6 linked regions of the Macaca fascicularis genome follow. The protein of the gene in region 2 purifies or fractionates together with the protein of the main gene of each other region. This does not show direct contact. Links are inferred from orthologs where the notes say so. Each region holds a gene or a part of one and is shown on either strand. Other genes may lie near its edges.

What was found.
Region 1: the proteins of CHCHD4 (region 2) and SSNA1 purify together in Homo sapiens (co-immunoprecipitation; 3 studies listed by BioGRID and IntAct, with this or other methods). This does not show direct contact. The link is inferred for Macaca fascicularis from reciprocal best matches to the Homo sapiens genes CHCHD4 and SSNA1.
Region 3: the proteins of CHCHD4 (region 2) and GFER purify together in Homo sapiens (co-immunoprecipitation; 3 studies listed by BioGRID and IntAct, with this or other methods). This does not show direct contact. The link is inferred for Macaca fascicularis from reciprocal best matches to the Homo sapiens genes CHCHD4 and GFER.
Region 4: the proteins of CHCHD4 (region 2) and TIMM10 purify together in Homo sapiens (co-immunoprecipitation; 4 studies listed by BioGRID and IntAct, with this or other methods). This does not show direct contact. The link is inferred for Macaca fascicularis from reciprocal best matches to the Homo sapiens genes CHCHD4 and TIMM10.
Region 5: the proteins of CHCHD4 (region 2) and TOR1AIP1 purify together in Homo sapiens (co-immunoprecipitation; 3 studies listed by BioGRID and IntAct, with this or other methods). This does not show direct contact. The link is inferred for Macaca fascicularis from reciprocal best matches to the Homo sapiens genes CHCHD4 and TOR1AIP1.
Region 6: the proteins of CHCHD4 (region 2) and COA7 purify together in Homo sapiens (co-immunoprecipitation; 3 studies listed by BioGRID and IntAct, with this or other methods). This does not show direct contact. The link is inferred for Macaca fascicularis from reciprocal best matches to the Homo sapiens genes CHCHD4 and COA7.

The regions. Positions count from the first base shown.
Region 1 is NC_088389.1:2,127,392-2,130,811, reverse strand, and holds SSNA1 (microtubule nucleation factor SSNA1), read left to right. Parts: upstream 1-1,232; 5' UTR 1,233-1,305; coding exon 1,306-1,357; intron 1,358-1,646; coding exon 1,647-1,846; intron 1,847-2,371; coding exon 2,372-2,479; 3' UTR 2,480-2,920; downstream 2,921-3,420. Other genes in the region: ANAPC2 (anaphase-promoting complex subunit 2), read right to left, coding at 61-683, 996-1,112. UniProt on the Homo sapiens protein: Microtubule-binding protein which stabilizes dynamic microtubules by slowing growth and shrinkage at both plus and minus ends and serves as a sensor of microtubule damage, protecting microtubules from the microtubule-severing enzyme SPAST.
Region 2 is NC_088376.1:152,384,210-152,388,326, forward strand, and holds the start of CHCHD4 (mitochondrial intermembrane space import and assembly protein 40), read right to left. Parts: upstream 2,801-4,117; 5' UTR 2,799-2,800; coding exon 2,738-2,798; intron 1-2,737.
Region 3 is NC_088394.1:2,744,625-2,748,638, reverse strand, and holds the start of GFER (FAD-linked sulfhydryl oxidase ALR), read right to left. Parts: upstream 2,801-4,014; 5' UTR 2,787-2,800; coding exon 2,529-2,786; exon of another isoform or gene 2,480-2,528; intron 2,260-2,479; coding exon 2,063-2,259; intron 1,412-2,062; coding exon of another isoform or gene 1,399-1,411; exon of another isoform or gene 1,356-1,398; intron 1,144-1,355; coding exon 981-1,143; 3' UTR 1-980.
Region 4 is NC_088388.1:16,082,153-16,086,398, reverse strand, and holds TIMM10 (mitochondrial import inner membrane translocase subunit Tim10), read right to left. Parts: upstream 2,801-4,246; 5' UTR 2,692-2,800; intron 2,328-2,691; 5' UTR 2,223-2,327; coding exon 2,152-2,222; intron 637-2,151; coding exon 435-636; 3' UTR 198-434; downstream 1-197.
Region 5 is NC_088375.1:37,408,432-37,411,931, reverse strand, and holds the end of TOR1AIP1 (torsin-1A-interacting protein 1), read right to left. Parts: intron 3,353-3,500; coding exon 2,562-3,352; 3' UTR 430-2,561; downstream 1-429. UniProt on the Homo sapiens protein: Required for nuclear membrane integrity. Induces TOR1A and TOR1B ATPase activity and is required for their location on the nuclear membrane. Binds to A- and B-type lamins. Possible role in membrane attachment and assembly of the nuclear lamina.
Region 6 is NC_088375.1:182,019,716-182,023,690, reverse strand, and holds the start of COA7 (cytochrome c oxidase assembly factor 7), read right to left. Parts: upstream 2,801-3,975; 5' UTR 2,775-2,800; coding exon 2,669-2,774; intron 1-2,668. UniProt on the Homo sapiens protein: Required for assembly of mitochondrial respiratory chain complex I and complex IV.

The sequences.
Region 1 (3,420 bases), on a different chromosome or scaffold from region 2:
CTGGACCCAGGGGAGCAACCAGTAGGAGCGAGAGCACGGCCATCAGGACAGACTACTCACAAGACCTGGCTGAGCTGATGGAACTGCTCCAGAGCCTGGCGACACCAGCACTGTTGCTTGTCACTGCTGCACCCTGCGCACAGCGGGCTCTGCAGGAGCCGGTAGTACCGGCGACGGGCATACCGGCTGTCCAGCTCCCCCTCCAGTTCCGGGTCTGTGCCCCCTTCCCCCTTCCTCTTACTCTGCATATAGACTCTCAAGAAGCACCCATACAGACGCTGGATCATCTCTTGGAAGGTTCTGGGGGTACTAAAGAACAAGACTCCGCGCAACATAGTGTGGACTTTTTCTCGCAGCCCCTGAGCACCAGTGCCCATCAGCAAGCCCAGGCGAGTCCATTTCTCCAGCAGCTCTAGGCTACGCAGGTAGGGATCCAGGCGGCTCTCCAGCAGGCCAAAAGCGTCAAGGAGCAGCAGAAGGCACTGGGGCTCATCCGTAGAGTTCTCGCATTGGGAGATGGCATTCCAGAACTCAGGGGAGATGTTGGCCTGCAGATCGTTCTGCAGCACCTCTACGAACCACTCCTCCAGGACCGAGTGCAGGCCGTGGCCCCTCAGAACCTCCACCGCCGCCCGGAGCTCCTCTTCCTTTGGCGGGACTGCACCGCTGGTCCGGGAAGACACCTGGAGCGCAGAAAACCGTGAAGCGAGGGGAACACAACATAGAGGTGGGGAGAGGCGGGGAAGGGAAGAAGCTGAGGGGTAGGCTGCAAAAACTCCGCTGCCCCCTGTCCGTGGTGTCCGGACGTTGGGCCGAAACTAGGGAAGGGCTGCCAGCGGAGCTGAACGAAATGAAGTGGAATGGCGGTGGAAAGCGGCAGGACAGGGCAGAGGCGGATGACGGACAGAGCTGTATGAACCCGAAGGTGGCCGCCCCAAAGTGCATAGGGTCCCGGAAACTCCGCGCGGGGCCGCCGCTCTCTTCCCAGGCCTCACCAGCCCCAGCGCAGCTGGCGGCACCAGGCCGGTGCTCACGGTATTCCAGGCCACTAACAACTCCTGTCCGGGCCGGGAGTCGCTGTCCCCCTCCGCCACCACAACTGCCGCCGCCATCTGCAGCCACCGGCTCCGAGATCCCCTCGGCACGGCGCAAAGCGATGACGCAAGTCTGCACGCGCAGCCATGACGCGCACAAGGCGCTCAGCGATGACGCGTAGTTCGGCGCGCCGTCAGGGAGTCGTGCGCAGGCGCGGACAGCGCTGGTTCCGCGTCGGTTGGGGTGGCGGGGCCCCGGGCGGCGTAGACCATGACCCAGCAGGGCGCGGCGCTGCAGAACTACAACAACGAGCTGGTCAAGTGTGAGCGGCGCAGCCGGGACGGGGAGGTCGGGAGGGCCGCAGGGCCGGGTTCCCGGCTCGCAGCGGGGTGCCCCTGGACCCGCCTAGTTGCGGGCATCGCGCAGCTGAGCAGAGCCCTCCGTGCCGGGGGCTGGGTGTCCGTGGCCCCGAGCCCTCGTTGGCTCGCAGGCCCCGCGCCGGGTGCTCGGGGGTGGTGCCTGACTCTGGCTTCCTCGGGTGGAAGGAGGCCCGCCCTCCGCCGCCGCGCTCCTGCCCTGGGCCCACAGCCCCGCCCCTCCTGGCCCCCCAGGCATAGAGGAGCTGTGCCAGAAGCGGGAAGAGCTGTGCCGGCAGATCCAGGAGGAGGAGGACGAGAAGCAGCGGCTGCAGAATGAGGTGAGGCAGCTGACGGAGAAGCTGGCCCGCGTCAACGAGAACCTGGCACGCAAGATTGCCTCTCGCAACGAGTTCGACCGGACCATCGCGGAGACGGAGGCCGCCTACCTCAAGGTGGAGCTCGGGAGGCCAGGCGGAGCATCAGGGGATAGCCGCGGCAGGGGTGTAGCCGCGGCAGGGCGTCAGGACCGTCTGGGGCTCCCAGCTGTGGGCAGTCTGTGCCTCGCTGACATGTCGGGCAGGAGCAGCGTGGCCAGGCCCATTGAGGAACCCAGGCTGCTGCGGGAGTGACCGTGGGGCTGTCTGGGGGACCTGGGGCATCCTGGGTCCTGGTCTTCATCCGGTTCTCGCTAGCCATGTGGTTCTTTCTGCTTAGAGTGTGAAGAGCCACGTCTTGGGCCAGTGCTAACCCAGCCTGGCTTTGAGGGTGGGGAGGAAGTGTTCTGGGTCAGATTCAGGAGGGAAGAGGGCCCTGTTACCCCGTCTGCCAGTCCCCTTGGGCTTCCGCCTTCCCCCGCACAGGATCCCTTGGCTACAGCACCCACAGCCAGGTCCCAGAACCTGAGTGTGAGGACAGCTGGGGCTTAGGAACTTCCCAGCAGGTGAACAGTAACAACTTCCTCACTTCTCTGGCCCCAGATTCTGGAGAGCTCCCAGACTTTGCTCAGCGTCCTCAAGAGGGAAGCTGGGAACCTGACCAAGGCTACAGCCTCAGACCAGAAAAGTAGCGGTGGCAGGGACAGCTGACCAGACCACGGGCAGGGCCTGCCTCTGTGCGCCCCTCACCTCAGCCCCGACAAGTCTGTCCTCAGAGCGTCTTTGTTCTTCACAGCAGCAGCTGCCTTCCCTCACTGTCCCCGGTGCCGAGAGGGGCGGCTGCCAGCCTCTACTGGCATCATTGACAAGCCAGGGCACAGCCCACCCAGGGGCTTTGTGCTCACACGGGCTGTGGGGATGGTGGGTTCCAGGTCAGCTCTGCAAAGGGCCTGTCTCTGTGGCACCCACACTCCTGCCCTGCTGGGGAGGCCCTGGTTGTCTGTGCACCATGGGGGCCCCCTCAGCTTGTCCCTCCTCAGCCAGCAGAGGCCCAGGGCAGGGGACAGGGGTTCTCCTTCACCCCAGAACCCAAACCTCAGGGCTCACCCCTGTGGCCTGTGATTATCAATAAAGATTATCTTTGTAAAGGTCCGTGCCAGCCTGCTGCTTGCCCGTGTCAACAGTGTGGGGCTGCCAGACACCTGCAGAGCCAGAGCCTGAGGCTCCCCCTTGGGAAAGGAGGGAGGAGGCGTCTGGAGTGGTCTCCCTATGACTGCCCAACTAGCCTCAGGGACACCGCTGAGGGTGCCCACCCCGCCCAGGCCAGCGCCACCCTCGGCCCTCCCCAGCAGGGCCGCTGGTCCTCTTCCCCTGACTGGCCCACAGCTCACCCTCCTCTCAGCTCTGCTCGCTCGTCCTGTTCTCTGCCACACCCTGGTGTCCAGCATAGGACCCAGCCCAGAGAGACAGCTAGGGATGCCAAGCATATCCAGCAGCTGCCTCAGACTCAGGTCTCTCTCAGCAAGGACTGGGGGGGCTTCACACCCCCTACCCCCACCAGTTCCTCCTTGCAAGTCCTGCTTGGCCTGATGACACCACTGCTGCCACCAGGCCCTGCTGCCCCTTTCCCTGGCCGCACGCCAAGCACTGGC
Region 2 (4,117 bases):
TGGACATTTTCCCTTGCAGCACAGTCACACTGGATTGAAGGTAGAACAGTAATAGCTGCATCTTTTATACATTTTTGTCCCATGCAATGTGTTTTATTATATCTGTGAGTTCACTGGTGGGTATTACTTTATCTCCATTTTACAGAAACCACAGGAGCTGAGAAACGGACCAAAAGACATGCAGTAAATGAAGGCAGAACAGGAACTCTGGTCTGAAAGATCCAGAGTGTGTCTCCTGCAAACTGTCCATTGCATGCCTGTCCTGGAGGGCCTCTGCTTTCTGGAACATTTAAAACTCAATTCAAGAACCGATGCAAGGACAAGGCTTACCTATTCCTAACAAATCTAAGTGTGAAAGAAAGAACTGGTCAGACTAGTCATAAGATGCCAACCAGTGGGACAATCAGCTAGACAAGTAGTTCTTATGACATTTCTCAGCAATTTCTCCAGAAAAATAAAATTAAAAGTGCTTGTGTTTTTATTTCTAAGATAAGCTTTAAAAGCAGTTGAATATGCATGTTCTGAAGGAGGTGGATAACTATGTTAAACCTTCTGGCTCACAGTGGCTTCAATATCACAGAGAGTCTGAGAACTGGAGTTCAAAGCTGGACTTAAGCACTTCCCACTGTGTGAGTTCAGGTACCCTCTGGGCCTCAGAAATCAGGCCTTACCACCAGCTTCACTGACCTACCTCACATGGTTGGGGAGGTGAAATGTGTTTCTGCTGTTAGCTAGAATCCCACTCAACAGTAAGTTTTAAAGGGTACGTGGCCAGGAAAAGAGACAATCACAGGCTCAGAGATGTCAATAATATCTTGGAAATGGGAGAGCTGATGGTCGAGTGCTCTCTGACTTAACCAGTGAAGAAAGCTGAACCCAAAGTGCACAAGGAGGAGGTCCCCCAGAATCAATTCAGTCCCCACCCCAGAACCTTGGTCAGAGTGGGGAACTGGAGGCCCGAGGGGTTACTCTGTGAACAGGACTTCAGGGTGGGGCTGAGAACAGAACTGACTGAGCAGTCGGATACCAAAACACCTTCCACCCTCAGCTGTTTAGTTTTACTTTTGGTAGAGCCACCCCAACCCGTCTTTCTCTCACATCTCCATCAGCATATTAGAATGGCTCGATCTTCAAATATATCCAGAAAGAGCTGCATCTCTCACCTCTTGGACCCCATCTCCCACCATCATTCCCTCCACTCCAGCCATGCTGACCTCTTTTACTTGAACATGCTGAGCACATGCCTACCTCTGGCTTTTGCACAGGGTATTCTGTCCTCCAGGAGCACTTTCCCTTCCCTCAGGTACCCTCACAGCGATTTCTCCCGGCTTTCACTTCCTGCTCACATGCCACCGTCCCTGACCACTGCCCATCTCCCTTATCCTGCTTTTTTATCTTTCCCCAAAGTGCTTTTCTTCACCCAACATACTATGTATGTTTACCACTTGATGCCCCCACTGGAATGTCAGCTCCTCAGAGGCAGCGATTTTTGTCTATTCTGTTCATTGCAGTATCCTGAAAGCCCAGAATAGTGCCAATGACAAAGTGGGTGTTCAATATTTGTTGAAAAAAGTGAATGGAGAAACAACTCTGGATTACGGCATGAAGACCCTAGTGTAAGAATTAAAGAAAGAGGAGAGAAACACGAACGGTGGCTTTTCAGTCAACAGGGACAGGTTTATTTTAAACAAACCTGAGGTGGGCTGCTGGCTGAGTTAGGTCAGAGCCACATTCTCTTACAGACTAAGAGTTTTTAAGGATTCAGGGTGAGAGAGTTTATCAGAGGCTTGGACTGCTTCTGTGTCTCTTTATTGTGCTCATCTGGGAGGCAGAGTTGTATGTCTGTTTCCACACATCTTTCTGCAGCTGCAGGCATATCCCCCCCAGGACTGCTTTTAGCTTCCCTATCTTAGTGCACCTGAAGGGAAAGGAATGTTCTTATTAAGGCCCACAGTTTTACTGGGGTCCACTGTATGAGGGTGAAGTTTGGCAGTTACCCAAGAGACTTTCCCCCACCTCCCTCTATGACTGAGGTGTCTTATCTGTGTTTTACTGTCTGCTCTTCCTGGCTGCTTGTAGTTAGAAGTGATTTCCTTGAAATGCATGAGGCTAGAAAGGGAGCTGGAACTTAAAGTGCCAGTGTTTGTCCGAGATGACGCTACTCCTGCTCTGTCACCCAGTCCCAGCAGAAAGCAGGAAGACAGAATGGTTATCACCATTAAGTGAGCAAGACCAAAAAATCCCTTGGATGAGTAGTTTGATTTCCCCCATGAAAGGGGAAGATCTTTACAGGCAAGAATCTCTCAGCATATCCACCCCAGAAGGAATGCCCGTGTGTCCTGCAGAGGAAGCAGTTTCTTGTCTCCCATGGATGCTGACTCACCAGGATCATGTTTGAGAATGGCAACCTGCACTACGGACTTGTCTTCTTTCATTTTTGGCTAAGCTGATTCAATACACCTGTGATACAATTCCAACCACTACTTTCTGACACTCAACCCAAGAAAGAGATCTAAAGCCAGAGGGAGTGGTGCCTGTGGTGTACTTTGAGTGAGTAAAGTAAGGGGTTTCTAAGAGTTTGATAAATCTGACTGCTGAGGACTTTCATGTTTAGAATCTAACCCCTTTGAAAGATATAACTCCCGCGTACAGAATCAAGTATCTGTGAAGAACACACAAATAGCTTTCAGACAGAGTGTAAGAAGAATGCAAGTGTTAGAAGTTTAGCTCAACAAACCTTCCTTAGCTCCAGCTCTGTGGTAGTACCTGGTGGTCACAGATGAATACGACACAGGCATCCAGTGGAGAAGACGGAAGGGGAGGGATCCTACCTTTGTCCCTGACAAAGAACTTCAGGGAGGGAAGGAGGGAATAGACATTCCAGAAGGGACCATCCTGGGCAAAGCCTGGAGTGCAAAAGGAGGGTTTTAAGTAGCGTTCGCTCACACACATTGAAGACTGCAAAAGGTTTTCTTAAGAAAAGTGGCATTTAAAAGGATCTCTGAAGCCTCAGGAAGCCTTCTCAGACCGCACAGAGCCGTTCACTAAATGATCATAGCATGCTGGGCTTTCCCTTCATGTCACTTATGACAGTCTGTAATCATGCATTGGTCTGGTGATGTTTTAATGGCAATCTCTTCCACCATGCCAGGAAGGCAGAGAATGTGTCACATTGCTCACCACTATATGCCCAATGGCTGGCACATCACATGTGCTTTATAAATGTTGACTAAACACAAGTGGGCAGGCTCTGCATTAGAAAGAGGAAACTAAGAAAGAAACACTATGGTGCTGACACACAGAAGTGTGGCTAGCCCAAGGCCAGGGAGCCAGGATGAGAGCCCTCGAATGCCAAACCAAGGAGTTTAACCTGAAGGCTGGGTAGCAGGTGGACCCCTGAAATAAACTTGCACAGGCAAGTGATTCACTCAGGACAGAGGGCAGGTACACGCATGATTCAATAAAGATTTGGGCACCCATTGTACACCAGGCCCTGTGCCAGATGCTGGGGATTCCACAGCCCATCTGATGCTCTCAGCTTAGTGGGAGAAGACAGGCAGGAAGATGGCAAAAAATAAAAAAGGTAATTTCAGAGAGTTCAGGATGTGAAAGACACAAAGGGTCAGGAGGCTAAATTTTAAAGGATGAGGAGTCAGCCATGGAAGAGGTGAAGGCAGGATATACCAAACCAAGGGTATAGCGAAGAGGTTAGAGGCTGGGCAACAAAAAGGTGGGAAGAGACCAGGCTGGAAAGGCAGACAGGGCCAGATCACATAAGCTCTGATACGGTAAGGAGTTTGGGATCATTTTTTAAAAAATCCTATGGGAAGCATAAAGGATCAGTGGGCAAAAAAAAAAAAAAAAAATGTTAGGGACTTCTTAGGGGGACAGTGGTATGGATAAGATAAATACTAAGGAAGGCCTATAAGTGAGTGCTTTCAATTCTCACTCATCTCCTAAGAGAGATCTTTGAACCAGGAAAAGATAAGGGCTCCATGTTTTGAAGGCAGATGGACCTAGCCTCCCTTTCCAGAGAAAACTGCCTCCTGTAAATCCTCAAAGAGAAGGAGGGTTTTGTTTATCAGCACAGCCTCATTATACCCAAAGGCTCAAAAAT
Region 3 (4,014 bases), on a different chromosome or scaffold from region 2:
TCCATGCCATCCCCTGGCTCCAAACCCACCAGGAACTTCCTGTCAGGGGAGCTGGGAGTAGAAGCCATGGCTCTGCTGGGGCCTTGGAGACCTCGTGCCGTCTGGCCACCCTGTACTCCTGGGGCCCCTGCATCAGCTACTCTGGCCTCCCCGCCCCAACCAATCAGCATCCTTGCTGTTCCCAGCTCATTCTCATGTAGGGATCTCTCTCCTCCTGAGGAACGAGGACCCCAGCAGGAAATGCAGCTGGGCACACAGGGATGGAACAAGCCCTGCCCACTGATATAAGCCCCAGCAGAAAACACACTGAAGCCAGGTCCTCAGTCACTTCAACGTTTCATTTGGGCTTCAAACTCTGAGGAAGCGGGCCCCACGAATCCCCTGTGGACAGGCATGGCACAACGCTGGCAGGCATGTGCCAGGCAGGGAGAGGGCAGGATGGCTGGTGGACCCTCAGAAAGACCCTGCCTGAGCTTTCCCTGTAGGGACTGAGCGGAGTGGAGAACTGAGCCCCCTAAAGTGAGCAGCACAGAGCCACGGGGGGCAGGGGCATGCCTGGCTGCATAGTGGGAAGGCAAAGGCCTGGCCTCCAGGAACAGGCACAGGGACGCCCAGCCAGGCCTGCTGTCTTCCTGTGTGAGGAGCGAGGCACCAGGGTATGCGGTGGGCAGGAAGCCACATCCTGAATGCCAAGGGGCAGCCCAGGCTGCTCCTGCCTCCCTCACCTGCAGTTCAGCTGCAGCTCCTTGGGGCCTCCACTGAGGAGGAGGCCAGTGGGTGCCTGCTGTGTGCACCTCCACTTCTGCTCCAAACCTAACAGGGGCAGGGCAGGTCCCCACGGGCAGTGTCCTGGGGACCACCCAACTGAGACACAACAGGCTCTGGCTCTGATGCACTTTAATGAGTGCCCTGCCCCTGTCCAACCAGGCCACTCCATAGGCGCCTGGCTCGCTGTCCCATGGGCTCTGGCTGACCACCCTCTAGTCACAGGAGCCATCCTTCCAGCCGTCGCGCCAGCGCTCATCCACTTTTGAGCAGTCGAAGTCAGGCTTGCCCAGCTTGCGGTTCACTTCATTGTGCAGGTGGCACAGCCACTGCGTGAAGCCTGCCCGAGTGCGGGTGTCTGGCTGGTTCCTGCACAGCCTGCATAGGGAGAGCATGTAAAGAATGGGAGGACGCAGCGGCTCCACTGCCCCTGCCAGTTCCCTGTCTGCTCCCAAGGAAAGACAACTGGGGCACTGCTGTGAGCTACACCTGGGAGTGCCCTTATGCTCCAAGGGACAGGAATTCCCAGAACAGGGCTGACCCTGCAGCTCCCGGGTGTGATGAACTCCCAGGGTTGCTCAAACACCCACCTGGAGAGCTTGGCAAACTCCAACGAGGCCTCAAGGCAAGACATCACAGCACAGACCTGGCAAATTTATAAGCTTCTAACACCCAGGAAGCGGCATCCAGCGTCTCTGGCCTCAGGCAGAGTGTGGCCTGGGTGGGGCTGGGCACAGCCTTGTAACTGAAAACTGGACTTGTTTCTTAGCACCTGAGGGAGGCCCTGGTGCCTCAGTTCAGCAAGAGACTTAATTCTAACTGCCCAGGCTTACAGCAACAATGGCAACTCTGCCCTAGACATCTGGTCTAGAAACACCCGCAAGGGCCAGTGCTGGCTCTTGGATGCCTCAGTGAGGAAGAGGTGGCTCTTGGGGGCAAAAGCAGTGGATTTCCAAGATTTTAAAACCAGCAGTCCTGCTCTAGAAGTCAGGCAAAGTGGAGCCCTCCCTAACTTGGGGGGAGCCGTCTTCAGTGCCAGACAAGGCAGGGAAGCCCTTCCTGGAGTCCTGTGGCTGTGGCAGGAGCAGTATTCAGCAGCAGATCCCAACAGTTTGGCTTTTGAGACAAGACGAGGAGGCTCAGATGGCCCCAGGCCTCACCTGTTGGAGGCCCCTGCTCCTCAGCAAACTTCTGCCACCTCTGCATCCGTTTCTCTATGTTCCCCGCTATTACGTCAGCCAGGAGCCCCAGGCCCAGGCTGCAGTGCAAAGCTCTGCTGCGTGCAAACACATCTTACCTTTCCCTTAGGTCTTCAGCACACTCCTCACAGGGGTAAAACTTAGAAAATAAATGTATGAAGTGGGCCATGTCTTGCTGCTGTTCTGGGGTGGGCAGGTCGGGGTAGTAGGCGGCCAGGGTGTGGAGAACAGCCCAGCTGTGGCGGCCCAGTTCCTCGCGATCCGGCGGGCAGTCCTCCCTAAACTTGGTGTCCCGCTGCGGAAGCAGGCCAACCAAGAGTGAGTTCATTCTCCGAACAGAAGCGCCCAAAGCTCCCCCTTCTACGGCCCAGCCGGTGGCCCACTGGACTCCGGCCAAAGCCCTGCAGACGATCCAACCCACGCGCGGATGAAGGCTGTAAGGCCGGGCTTACCCGGGGGCAAGGTTCAGGGACAGGCAACCCCGGGGAGCTCTGCCGGGGCACCTGGGCGGGGGCAGGGGCAGGGGCTGCGCGGGGCTGGGAGAAGTCGGGCAGGGATCTGCACCTTCTGCTGCGTCCGCATCCACGTCTTGAAGTCCACGCAGGCCCGGCACGGCCGCCTCCGGGAGGCGTCCACGGCGACAGGAGACTCGGAGGTCGGCGCCTGGGCTGGCGTCGGGGCCGAGGTGGCCGCGTCTCTCCGCCCCGCGCCGCGGCCCCGCGCGTCGGTCGCCAGGTCGTCCATCACCTCGGAGCGCGCGCCTCCCGGCAGGAAGAAGAGATTCCGGCCGTGGAAGCTGCCCCGCTCGCCGGGCGCCGCCATGTTGCCCGCGCAAGGCCTGCCGGGCCAGCTCGGCCTCCAGATGAGCCTCCAGGTCAGCTTCCAGGCCAGCGCTCAGCTACAGTAGCCGGAGGCGCGCGCCGTGCTCGCGGGGGCCGGGCCCGAGCTGGGGCTTGGGGCGGAGTTGGGGGCGGGGGCCGGCGCGCGGGCCCGTGTGGAGGCGGAGCCAGAGGCCGCGGGGCGGACCGGGGCGGGGCCGGGCCCGGGGCCAGGGGCAGGGACGGAGCTGGAGGGCCGGAGCCTGCTGGCACCCCGGGGCCTCGATCCGCGGCGCACGCCGTGGTTGCGCCGTCCGTGGCGGCGCTCTCGCTTCCTCCAGTAGAAGAGCAGTGTGTGGCGGAAGGTGCGCAGCGGAAGGTGCGCCGCGGGCGCGCTGTGGACCTGGGCTGACACTCAGGCAAAGTCCGTGTTGCGGCCCGCGACGCCCCCATCGCTCCGCTCTGAGTGTCCTGCGTGCCTGCGGCCAGGCTCTGTGCCCTCCGCTGAGGGGCGCGTCCCACCGGCTGGCTGCCCAGCGCCTTCTCAACGCGGGGCGGGCGTGACCGCACAGATTGCGGCGCGCGCTAGGGTTCTGGGCTGGTGTCACCGCCCTGGCGCCATGGCAACGGGCGCCTGGCAACGCAGGGCGGGGCGCGGCCGCAGAGGGCTGGCGCGTGCCTTGGGCTCCCCGGCGCCCCCCGCCAGCTGCCGCGGACCCTAGAACCTGGGGGGAGGGGTCGGGCTCCCAGTTGGAGCGGCCTCTGCGATTCCTCTGCCTCCTTGCGTTCATTTATCCATTCCGCTATTATTTGTGCAGTGACTGCTCTGTTCCAAGCGCTGTTCCAGGTGCTGGGCGGAGCAGGGAACACAGCTCTGTTCCCTGACCTCCTCTGTTCATAATTCAGTGGTCAAGATAGGAAAAAAAAACAAGGACTCACACTCATAAATGTTCACGTACAAACTGGTGGGTCCATGCAAGGGTGTGGTAAATCTGGAAGGCCTCCTTGAGACCTCCTCCTATCTGAAGGATGAGGAATCAGCTGAGGAGCGCCTTCGAGACCAAGCCCAAGGTGGCAGGGTCTTGGCATTTTGCAGGAACAAAAAGGCCAGTGGGACGCTAGGGAGGGTTGTAAGGTGGGAGGGGAGATCCAGGCACGGGCAGGGACCCACCAAGACTTAGTCAGCAGCTGCGGGGATTGGGAGTTTATTATGAGGGTAGGGGGAAGATGCT
Region 4 (4,246 bases), on a different chromosome or scaffold from region 2:
TTGCCATGTTGGCCAGGTGGTCTTGAACTCCTGACCTCAAGTGATCCACCCACTTCAGCCTCCCAAAGTGCTGGGATTACAGGCGTGAGCCACTGTGCCTGGCCTGTCCTACTCTTAAACACTACATTAGTCTCCCTCTGCTGGTAGGGGCTGTGTCTGTTTACTCTCAAATGCCACGCACACTGCTTTGCACATAGTAGGTGTCAACAAACTTGTTTTAATATATATATACATACATACATACATACACACAGTCACATTCCAGTGTGACAAATACTCCTTCACCAGGGGACAGCGCTACCACTCCAGGATCTTGAAGACTCGCTACAGAGAGCTTAGGCCTGGCAGTCCTCACAGATGACACCCAACAGGGAGCACTTTTATTAAAGTGGGAAGGGGTGGGGTGTACCCCAGGGTGTATGCTGACACGGACCTCACGCGGGCCCAGAGCTCTGCTGCACCCTCTTCATCAGCTCTTCATCCTGCATAGACAACTCTGTCAACTTTTTGCCCATTCGCTCATGGATGTCCAAGTACTTAGAGACACATCGGTCCAGGCACACAGACTCGCCCTTGGAGAGCTCTGCTTCCTTGTAGTGAGGAGGTACACACTTCCGGTGGCAGGCACTGGTCATTCTGGAGGGAGGGAGGGGCAAGGTCATGTCAGCAGCATCCTGTGACATCCCAGGAACCCTCGACCATTCCAGCCCTGCTATATTGATGTCACCTTCCCCAAGAAAGCAGTGTAAATCCTCAGTTTACACCTCAACCACTGGAAGGTCCTTGCAAGTAGGAAACTTGCCTGAGCCCATGTATATGACTAATTAAGTAGAAACAATTTGTTAAGGACTGGCTATGTGCCAGGCATCATGCTAAGTGCTTTACCTGCATTCTGTTACGCAATGCTTACAATTACCCCAAGAGATACTTATCCCCATTTTACAGACGAGAAAATTAAGGCAAACAGAGGCTCAGTAATTTTTTTTTTTTTTTTTTTTTTTGAGACGGAGTCTCGCTCTGTCGCCCAGACTGGAGTGCAGTGGCGCGATCTCGGCTCACTGCAAGCTCCGCCTCCCGGGTTCACGCCATTCTCCTGCCTCAGCCTCCCAAGTAGCTGGGACTACAGGCGCCCGCCACCACGCCCAGCTAATTTCTTTTTGTATTTTTAGTAGAGACGGGGTTTCACCGTGTTAGCCAGGATGGTCTCGATCTCCTGACCTCGTGATCCACCCGCCTCGGCCTCCCAAAGTGCTGGGATTACAGGCTTGAGCCACCGCGCCCGGCCGAGGCTCAGTAATTTTCTAAGAATCACATAGAGCTGAGATATGAACCCAGGTCATCTGACCTCACAGTCTACACTTAACAATCTTTCTAATTTATAGTCGTCAGGATAAACCAATCAAGAGAGCTTAAGCCAATAAAAATAGCAGACATTTCACTGTTACTAAGTGTTGGGCTTGAGGCTAAGGACTTTCATATATTTTTAGATTTAATATTTATGATGCCCTATGAGGTAGGTATCATTATGTCTTTTTCATAATGAGGAAACCAATTGTCAAACAGTGCAAGTAACATGTCCAAGTATACTGCTGGTGATTGGTGGAGCCAGGATTTGTTCCCAAATGTGCCAAATGGTTATGAGCACTAGTTGCAGAACCAGACTGAGGTGCTAGTTCTGGCATTGTTACCCACCAGCTGCGGACCCTAAGGAAGTTACTTAACCTCTAGCAGCATCAATTTCCTCATTTTAAGATGGGACTAATAAAATTAACCCACTGGATTATTTTGAAGATTAACAAGAGCCTGACACAGAATAAAGGGTTTTAAAATGTTAACTACTAAATGGGCTGGCTATGTGCTATTTATCAAGAGGCAAATACTCAGCTTTTCTTGGAACCTAACCAGAGCCTGGATTGGAGTTTCTCTTCCTGCTTGGCTCCTGCATTGCCAGTTCCATCCCCATCTAAATGCCCAACTCATTCTAGTGACTGCGTCTACATTAGGATCAACCTTGGAGGTGCGTATGGGGAGGGTAAGCATGGGCCTCAGGCTCCCCTACATTCAGGAAGGAATTTGTTGTAAGTCATTCACCTTCGATATGGGTGACCAAGACTTATTTTCCAAGACAGGGTAGAACATAGTTCTCTTTACCTGTTGTACATATCGGCCATCATCTCCACCTCCAGCTCCGCAGCCAGCTGTTGGGCCCTGAGAGGATCCATCTCAGCCTAGCACCGTGGAAGGTATCTCCTTCTGGCCTCCTAATCCTGGGAGCAGACATCACCATCAGCACCCACCGCCGCCGTTCACTCTCCTACCCCTTGGGGCTAGAGGATACAGAGGACTCACAGGGCGCCAGACCACCACGGGCCACTAACCTCAGTAAGATTAACCACCCCATTTCACGGATGTGGAAACTGAGGCCTCGCCCAAGGTCGCACAGGACGTCCATGGCGAGCCTGGAAATCGAGCCCCGGATCTCTGATGCCCCAGTCCCTGGAGGTCACCTCTATTCAGAAGATCGAGGACCGAGGCAGAACGCTCTAACCCATAAGCCTGAACCTCCAGGGCCCTGGGAATGAGATCGTACGCTGAACACAGGCGACCGGGACGCAGCCTAAAGGCTGCGCCTCTGAAATGGCGACGCCATAATCAGAGCCACATTGAATTCAGAGGTCATGGGTCACTCACCACTGCCTGGGACGGATCGCAATGCTCACGGAGACCCCAACTTCTGACAAAAACTATAACGTTACCCGCCTCTCCAGAAGGCTCCAGCGGAAGCACGTGGGTTACTTCCGGGAGGGAAGTCCCGCCTCTCCTTTGATTCAAACTCGCTTCCGGAACTAAATACCAACGAGACGGCGCCGGGAACTCGGCGATCCTAGAGAGGGAGCGGCCGGCGCCGGGCGAAGAGGAAGGCGACTTGCCAGTGCTAGAGGGGACGCCAAAGTACCATAGAGGCTTGGGCGGGGTGCAGAGCGTCTGCAGCCCGCTTACAATTCAAGTCCCTTGGGATGTCACAGAGCCGCTTCAGTTTATTGGTTCTGTAGGAAGAGGCGTGGTGACAGATATCAGTGAATCTCATCCCAGTTCCGGACAGCCGACTCCTGAGCGTAAATCAGGCGTGGAGAAGGAAGAACGCCCCCAAACAGCGATTCTGTTTTTGTTTCGCGTTAAAATCCCTGGAACGTTTTTAAACGTCCCAGTGCCCAGGACTCACCTCATTTCAATTAAATCAGAATCTCTGGGAGTAGGACCCAGGCATCAATACAATTTAAAATTCCCCAGGTGATTCGTATGTACAGCCAAATTTGAGAAGCAGTGCTCCATGGGACGTTGTGCGATTACTACTGTGTGTAGGTCACACTAAGCCCCTTCTGGTGTTGCAACGATAAGCGAGATAGGCTTCCTGCTCGTAGAAAGACAAGACGTGTAAAATATGTTTTCTTCAACAGTCAGAGGTCCTGAGCCACAAAGAGATTAATAAAAGCAATTTCGGCTGCCACCGAGGCTAATCATGGGTGAGGGAGAAGGAGGGTACTGGTGAACTTTTCAACTTTCAAGACTTAATGTGTTCTTCAAACTGCACCATTCACTCATTCCCCACTAAAAAGAAGGAAACAACACTCAGTCCCTTGATTTGTCACACAATTTCCTAGTAAAATAAATTTACAAGATGTAAATTGATGACGCAAGGGCACATTGCTCATTGGAAAAGGTGGGCTAGACATTTTATATGTGTGGTCATCATATGCTTCCCTAATTGTCCAAGACCATCCTGATTTTAAACAATCGACCTTTCTGCTTTGAAGACTCATCTTTGTCAAACCTTGTGCCCTGATTTTTAAAGATTGAGGTATAATATTCATAAAGTGCATAAAATACACGAATCTCAAGCTTAATTAAATATATATGTGTATATATACATTTGTATAACCACCACCCAGATCAAGATATAAAATACTTCCTGCACCCCAAAAAGTTATCTTGTGTTTCTTCCCCATCAATACTCCCTCTTGAAGTTAACCACTATTCTGACCTCTATCACCATCAATTCGTTTTCCTTGTTCTTGAACTTCATGTAAATGGAATTACACATTATTTTCTATTTTGTGCCTGACGTCTTTAGCTCAATGTACCTGTAAGGTTTCCTCCATATTGTTGTGTGCATCTGTTATTCCTTCTGTTTTATTGCTGTCTAGTGTTTGATTGTATGAGCATGCCACAATTCATTTATCCATTC
Region 5 (3,500 bases), on a different chromosome or scaffold from region 2:
AAAATCTAAAAAAGCTCTTTAGGGAGGTGATGAAGAAAAGGTTAAGAAGCCAGGGGTTGTGACTCACACCTGTAATCCTAGCTACTTAGGAGGCTTAGGCAGGAGGACTGCTTGAGGCCAAGAGTTCAAAAACAGCCTGGGCAATATAGCGAGATCCCATGTCTACTTAAAAAAAAAAAAAGAAAGAAAAGCTGCTGTGGAGATTCTTTTGCCAAGTCAGGAATACCTAAATTAACTATATTTTTACAAACCCTAAGTGCCGAGATAAAATGGAAAGTTATGGCTATCTCACTTCTAACCAATGTACTTGCAAATGGCTCCAATTCTTTGGTTTTTGTTTCTCCTAGCCAAGGTTGCTAAAATTGTTCAAGGAAAAGACTTGGATTTCTTTTTTTAAATATGATAAATCATTAAATATATAACACAGAGTACAAACCAAGAAAGTAAATTTATTTAAATTACTAAAATAGCTTTTAAAGTCATTTACAGATCAGCTGCTATAATTATTTTTCCTGAAAGACACAGGTAACATATTACTTTTAAATTACTTGGGTCAGTGAAACATTTAATAAAAAGTTATTTCTCTATATAATATGTATGTATAAAATAAGCCTTTTCAAAAACTCTGGTTTTCATAATCCTCTATAAATCAGATGATCTGACTTCTAAGAGGAACAAATTATAGTAAGGGGCATACATTTATGAATACTGGTAGTACTAGAGGAAAGAAGTTAGACCACTCTACTACCACTTGTGGAACTCTCAAAGGGTAAATGACAAAGCCAATGACTGACTCTCTCTAAAAACAATATTTACATTTAATGGTTTGTGGACAATAAAAAAACAAGGTGGATAGATATAGAATTGTAACATTTTAAGAAAACCATAGCAGTTGACAGATGAGAAAGCTCAATTATAGATGCAAAGTTATAACTATACTACTATAGTAGTAAAGAAATACATTTCACACTCTTCATGTAAGTTCACTATCTTGGCTTGAGGCACTCCATAAAATGTATCACGTGCATAGTAAATCTTTATATTTGCTATGGTGTTGTACTAGAGGACCTGGACTGCAACAACTGGATGCACAGAAAACGAAATCTTCTTCAATAGCCCAGGACAGCAGGTTGACAAATGGTTTGTCAATTCCTGAAACTATTTCTTAATTCAAAACAAAAGCTTCAGGATGTGTCCAAAATAAACTGTTACGAATTGACCTAGTCTTTTTTTTTTTTTCTTTTTGAGACAGAGTTTTGTTTTTGTTGCCCAGGCTGGAGGGCAATAAGCCTGGTCTCGGCTTACTGCAACCTTTGCCTCCCGGGTTCAAGCGAATTCTCCTGCCTCAGCCTCCCAAGTAGCTGGGATTACAGGCATGTGCCACCATGCCCGGCTAATTCTTGTATTTTTAGTAGAGACAGGGTTTCACCATGTTGACCAGACTGGTCTCGAACTCCTGACCTCAGGTGATCCACCTGCCTCGGCCTGACCTACTCTTTTTTTTTTTTTTTTTGAGACGGAGTCTCTCTCTGTCGCCCAGGCTGGAGTGCAGTGGTGCGATCTCGGCTCACTGCAAGCTCCGCCTCCTGGGTTCACGCCATTCTCCTGCCTCAGCCTCCCGAGTAGCTGGGACTACAGGCGCCCACAACCGCACCCGGCTAATTTTTTGTATTTTTAGTAGAGACGGGGTTTCACCGTGGTCTCGATCTCCTGACCTTGTGATCCGCCCGCCTCGGCCTCCCAAAGTGCTGGGATTACAGGCGTGAGCCACCGCGCCCGGCCAACCTGACCTACTCTTAAGAGTCAAGTGAACAAATGTATTAAATCTTGCAATATACATGAAGAATCCTTGGGAGGGCCAAGAATTTTTCTTCAAGGAAGGAAAAAGGAGATATAAAAAACAAATCCCAATGGAATCCACTAAGATTAACAGTTCATATACCTATGTTTGACCTACACCTCAGTGGATTACTATAACATTTCCTCCCTTCAGCTTCCCCATTAATTTCTTCCTTGCCTTGTTCTTTCCACCTTCCAACAAACAAAAGAAAAAAAAATTCCAAACACACACCTACGTGACCTTTCATAACTTATGTTCCTATAGGCAGAAGCTAAGGAACTCACACCTACATGGTATAAAAGGGAACATAATGGGAAAATCCATGGTTACATTTAGGGAGCAATCTTACTAATAACTCAAGAAACTTAGTGAGAAATCTAAGTTAAAAAATCAGGAAGGTTCATAAGGAGACAAATCCCTTTCACTGGTCATACATAACTGTAATAATTCAGCCCAGAATCAAAATAGATTCTCTAAGGAACTGCATATAATCTGCACTCCTAAGATACCTTTAACACAGCTCTCAATGGAAACTGAAATGATTCTCTCATATCCTAGATAATTAGGTTGACAAATGATTTTTATGTTCTGTGTTTATGTAAGAACTTAATTTCCTTTAAAAAGAAACCAGTTCTTTCAAAAAGAGCTCTGAATTCTGTCTCTGGTTAGAAAATGTGAACAATTCTCAGAACTTGGGACATGATTTTTCTTCTCTCACTTCTTATAAGCAGATGCCCCTTTTCAAGGCATTTTCAGGTTGCACAGGCAGAACTAAGTGAGAAATGCGGCTCCAGAGGCCATTCAGTTTGTCTGGGTCCATATGATTGTAGGAGTTGGGTGTGTTAGAATTGGTGAACTTGACTTTAAGGAAATCTCTTACTTTTTCTTCAACTTCCTTTAGGCCTAGACTGGTTCCAAGTGTCTCTTCCTCCAATAAGACAGTCAGGACTAGGGCTACATCTTTGAAGGCTGCGTTTTCATGGTCACAATATTTGTAGAAGATCAAAGTAGAGCCTGCGGGCAATGACTCAAAGCGGTGTACCACAGCTGCATTCTGGCCGTTCTTAAATCCATTGCTCAGTTCTTGGTCTACCTCTAGTTTGACAGTATCACTGTCTTGAGTAGCTTTATCTGTCCCATCAATCCGGATGGCACGGACACTACGAAAAGAAGAATAGGCATCAGCAATTTGTTCACTCAGACACCTAAGCGCTTCTTCAGCATCTCGGGCAGCAGTGAGCAGCAAGATAGCAGGCTGAGACCGAGGATGGGAGCTATTAAGATGTTTTTCCAGGAATATTTGGCTCCTTTTCCACAGCTTCTCATCTTGACCTTGATACTTATTCTTAAGTTGATTCATCTGGTTCTGGAACTCTTGAACAGCAGTGGTTTCTACCTCAGGAGTACTAAAGAACCAAAGACTCCCAGAGGCAAGAGCAGCTATCAGAGGAAGTAGCCACCAGCAGCTCCTCTTGCCAAAAGATGCATTTTGGGGTTGTCCAGTCATTTCTACTTAGAAAAAAAGAAATGACAGATATAAATACCATTTTCTTAGATTCAAGGCAAGTGACTTTTAAAATCAGTATCAATCTTTGTAAACATTAGGTAAAAGAGAAAGAACTTTAAAGAAGAAAGCTGAAAATTTTCTTAATAAAATAAT
Region 6 (3,975 bases), on a different chromosome or scaffold from region 2:
TCCAATAACTTGCTTGTCTGACATGTTTTGCTCTCCATTGCCTACAGAGCAAAGTCTATATTCCTTACTCTGGCATTCAAGCCCCGACATACTGTGGCCCAGACTCCCGCTTCAAATGTACTACATCCTGACTTCAACCTTCCAAAAGACAGCACTTTCTTCTCCCACCCTCTCCTCCATTTAATCAACACTTGCCCAGCCCTCCAGACCTCCCTTCAAAGTCTTCCCTAACCACCCTGTTCCTTAGTGACCCCAATTCCTCTAAGTTCTTTCTACACTTAGGACATGGACCAGCTCTCAAAGAACAACGCCGGGTTCTTTTTTTGTTTTTGTTTTTGTTTTTTTTTGAGACGTTATTTTGCTCTTGTTGCCCAGGCCGGAGTGCAATGCTGTGATCTCGGCTCACTGCAACCTCCGCCTCCCGGGTTCAAGCAGTTCTCCTGTCTCAGCCTACCCAGTAGCCAGGATTACAGGCACATGCCACCACATCTGGCTAATTATTATATTTTTAGTAGAGACAGAGTTTCATCATATTGGTCAGGCTGGTCTTGAACTCCTGACCTCAAGTGATCTGCCCACCTCGGCCTCCCAAAGTGCTGGGATTACAGGCATGAGCCACCGTGCTCGGCTCAACCCCAGGTTCTTTTTTTTTTTTTTTTTTTTTTGAGACGGAGTCTTGCTCTGTCGCCCAGGCTGGAGTGCAGTGGCCGGATCTCAGCTCACTGCAAGCTCTGCCTCCCGGGTTCACGCCATTCTCCTGCCTCAGCCTCTTGAGTAGCTGGGACTACAGGCACCGCCACCACGCCCGGCTAGTTTTTTTTATTTTTAGTAGAGACGGGGTTTCACAGTGTTAGCCAGGATGGTCTCGATCTCCTGACCTTGTGATCCACCGGTCTCGGCCTCCCAAAGTGCTGGGATTACAGGCGTGAGCCACCGCGCCCGGCCCCCAGGTTCTTTTTAAGCCATCATACTGCAGAGCAACTCTGTTTCATGACTATGTTATGATATGTATATGGTTACGTTATGGTCTATGTTATGGATTAGCTTCAAGGAATAGCTATGTCATTTCTGCAAACTAAACTGCAAGCTATTAGAAGGTAGGGCCAGTGTCACTTTTTTCTTTCTTTTTTTTTTTTTTTTTTTTTTTTAGTAGAGACAGGGTTTCACCATGTTGCCCAGGCTGGTCTTGAAATCCTGGCCTCATGCGATCCTCCTGCCTCACCTCAGCCTCCCAGAGAACTGGGATGACGGGCTTGTGCCACACCAGACCTTTATTTGAAAGAAAAAAAAAAAAAAAGCCTGGGCACAGTGGCTCACACCTGTAATCCCAGCACTTTGGGAGGCCAAGGAACATGGATTGCTTGAGGTCAGGAGTTTGAGACCAGCCTGGCTAACATGGTGAAACCCTGTCTCTACTAAAATACAAAAATTAGCTGGGCGTGGTGGTGGGAGCCTGTAATTCCAGCTACTCAGGCGGCTGAGGCAGGAGAATTGCTTTAACCTAGGAGGCAGAGGTTGCAGTGAGCTGAGATGGAGGCACTGTACTCCAACCTGGGTGACAGCGTGAGACTCAGTCTCGAAAAAACAAAACAAAAAAAAAAACGGGAGGATCACTTGAGCCCAGGAGTTGCGACCAGCCTGGACAACATAGTGAGATACTATCTCAAAAAAGAAAGAAAATATAAAAAATAAAAATAAAGCAGGAAGAAGAAAACCACCGAAAGCTATTGGCTGCTCTGGGTGGACCCCTCTGGTCATCACCATCCACCTATACTCTCAAGTCAATTCAGTGTTCACACAACACACGGGACACATTTGTGCCTCAGGGCCTCTTTGCCAGCTGTTACCTACGGTAAGATCTGCATGGTTCACTCCCTTACCTTCTTCAAGCCTTTATTCAATTGCCACTTTCTCAGTGATCTTCCCTGATCACTCAATTTAAAACTGCCCTTCTGCCCTCCTGATACCCTTCACCCAGTCCTTTTTCCACGGCACTTACTATTTTATTTATTTATTTATTTATTTATTTATTTATTTATTTATTGAGACAGAGTCTCGCTCTGTCGCCCAGGCTGGAGTGCAGTGGCGCGATCTCCGCTCACTGCAAGCTCCACCTTCCGGGTTCACGCCATTCTCCTGCCTCAGCCTCCCGAGTAGCTGGGACTACAGGCGCCTGCCACCACGCCTGGCTAATTTTTTGTATTTTTAGTAGAGACAGGGTTTCACCGTGTTAGCCAGGATGGTCTCGTCTCCTGACCTCGTGATCCACCCGCCTCGGCCTCCCAAAGTGCTGGGATTACAGGCGTGAACCACCGCGCCCGGCAGGTACTTACTGCTTTCGAACACGATTTCATGAATTACCTGAGGCTTATTGCCCGACTCCCCGCACTAGCTTGGAAGCTCCACGAGGGCAGCGAATTTCATCTGTTCACCGATAGATCCCCAGTCCCTAATCCAAAAGCACGTCTCTTCCTACCCGCCCCGGCCTCCAGGCTCGGTCTTCCCGGGACACATCGCCCTTCCCAACACACGCAGTCACCGCGATCCACAGACCCCCGTCCCCCGCCAGCCACGTGATTCCTTCTCCAGCCTCTCAGAGGTCGCAGACCAGACCTCTCCCGGCACGCCTCTCCCCGACGCGTCGCCGGGCTGCGCTGGAGGCGCTCACCGTCCGGGTCCTTCTCGTGGTAGCAGTGGTAGTTGCACTCCACCTCCATGTTCTCCAAAAAGGACTTAACCTGCTCCTCATCCTGGAAGTCCACCAAGCCGGCCATGGTTTGCGCTGCCCAGAGACGGTCACGTGAGCCGGCGGAGGGGGCGGGGCGTGGGGCTGACGCAGCCCGCGGCACTCTCCCGGAATCCCCGGGAGAGCCAGGCGAGTCTGCCTTTCCCAGCAGCCCTCGCGCCGTTGGGCAGCCACGCTTCCAAGACTAACCGCCTTCCTGAAACTGGGAGCGGTCTCTCTGCAGCACCTTATCAATGCTCGCTTTGTAGCCTTAGTGGTTTTCCACCTGCAGTCATTTATCCATGTATAATCCCTCAGCGCCTACAGTGTGCCTCACCAGGTGCATTGTTCTAGGGTTATGACAGCTAGGAATGTAGTCCCTGCCTTCAAAGAACTTGGAGTTCAATTGGAAGACATTCGCTTATCCATTCAGCAAACATTTAGAGGACCTTCTGTATGTGCCAGGTGTAGCTGGACAAAGTGCAGTGGGCAGTCTGATTCATCTCTCTTCTTCCCAGACCTGTCTTGGCCACCAACACGAATTACCTAAGCAATAAATGGCTGTAGGAGAGGTTAACTGGAACACAGTAGCAGTGAAGGGTGCAGCAACGTCACTGTTATAACACCTAGTACTCAAACAGTGCTGAACTTTGTTCCAGGCTCTAAGAGCTTTATATGAATTAACTCATTTAATTCTCATTATATATCATGTCACTGTAAACTTACACTCACAGTGATACTGTGGGGAAGGTATTATTATTATCCCCGTTCTACAGATAAGAAAACTAAAGTACAGAGAAATTAATTTATCCAAGGTCACACAGTGAGGGAGTTGGTATGCAATCAATTTTTTTTTTTATGAATAAATGAATGAGGCCGGGCGCGGTGGTTCACGCCTGTAATCCCAGCACTTTGGGAGGCCGAGGCGGGTGGATCACCTGAGGTCAAGAGTTCGAGACCAGCCTGGCCAATCTAGTGAAACTCTGTTTCTACTAAAAATGCAAAATTAGCAGGGGTCTCTACTAAAAATACAGAATTACAGGGCGCACACCTGTAATCTTAGCTCTTTGGGAGGCTAAGGCAGGAGAATTGCTTTAACCTGGGAGGTGGAGGTTGCATGTGAGCCGAAATTGCACCATTGCATTCCATCCTGGGCGACAAGAGCAAAACTCCGTCTTAAAAAAAAAAAAAAATGAATGAGATAGAAAAGGAACATGTCAAGGAGACAGGGAGGAGAGGAAGTTTACCTA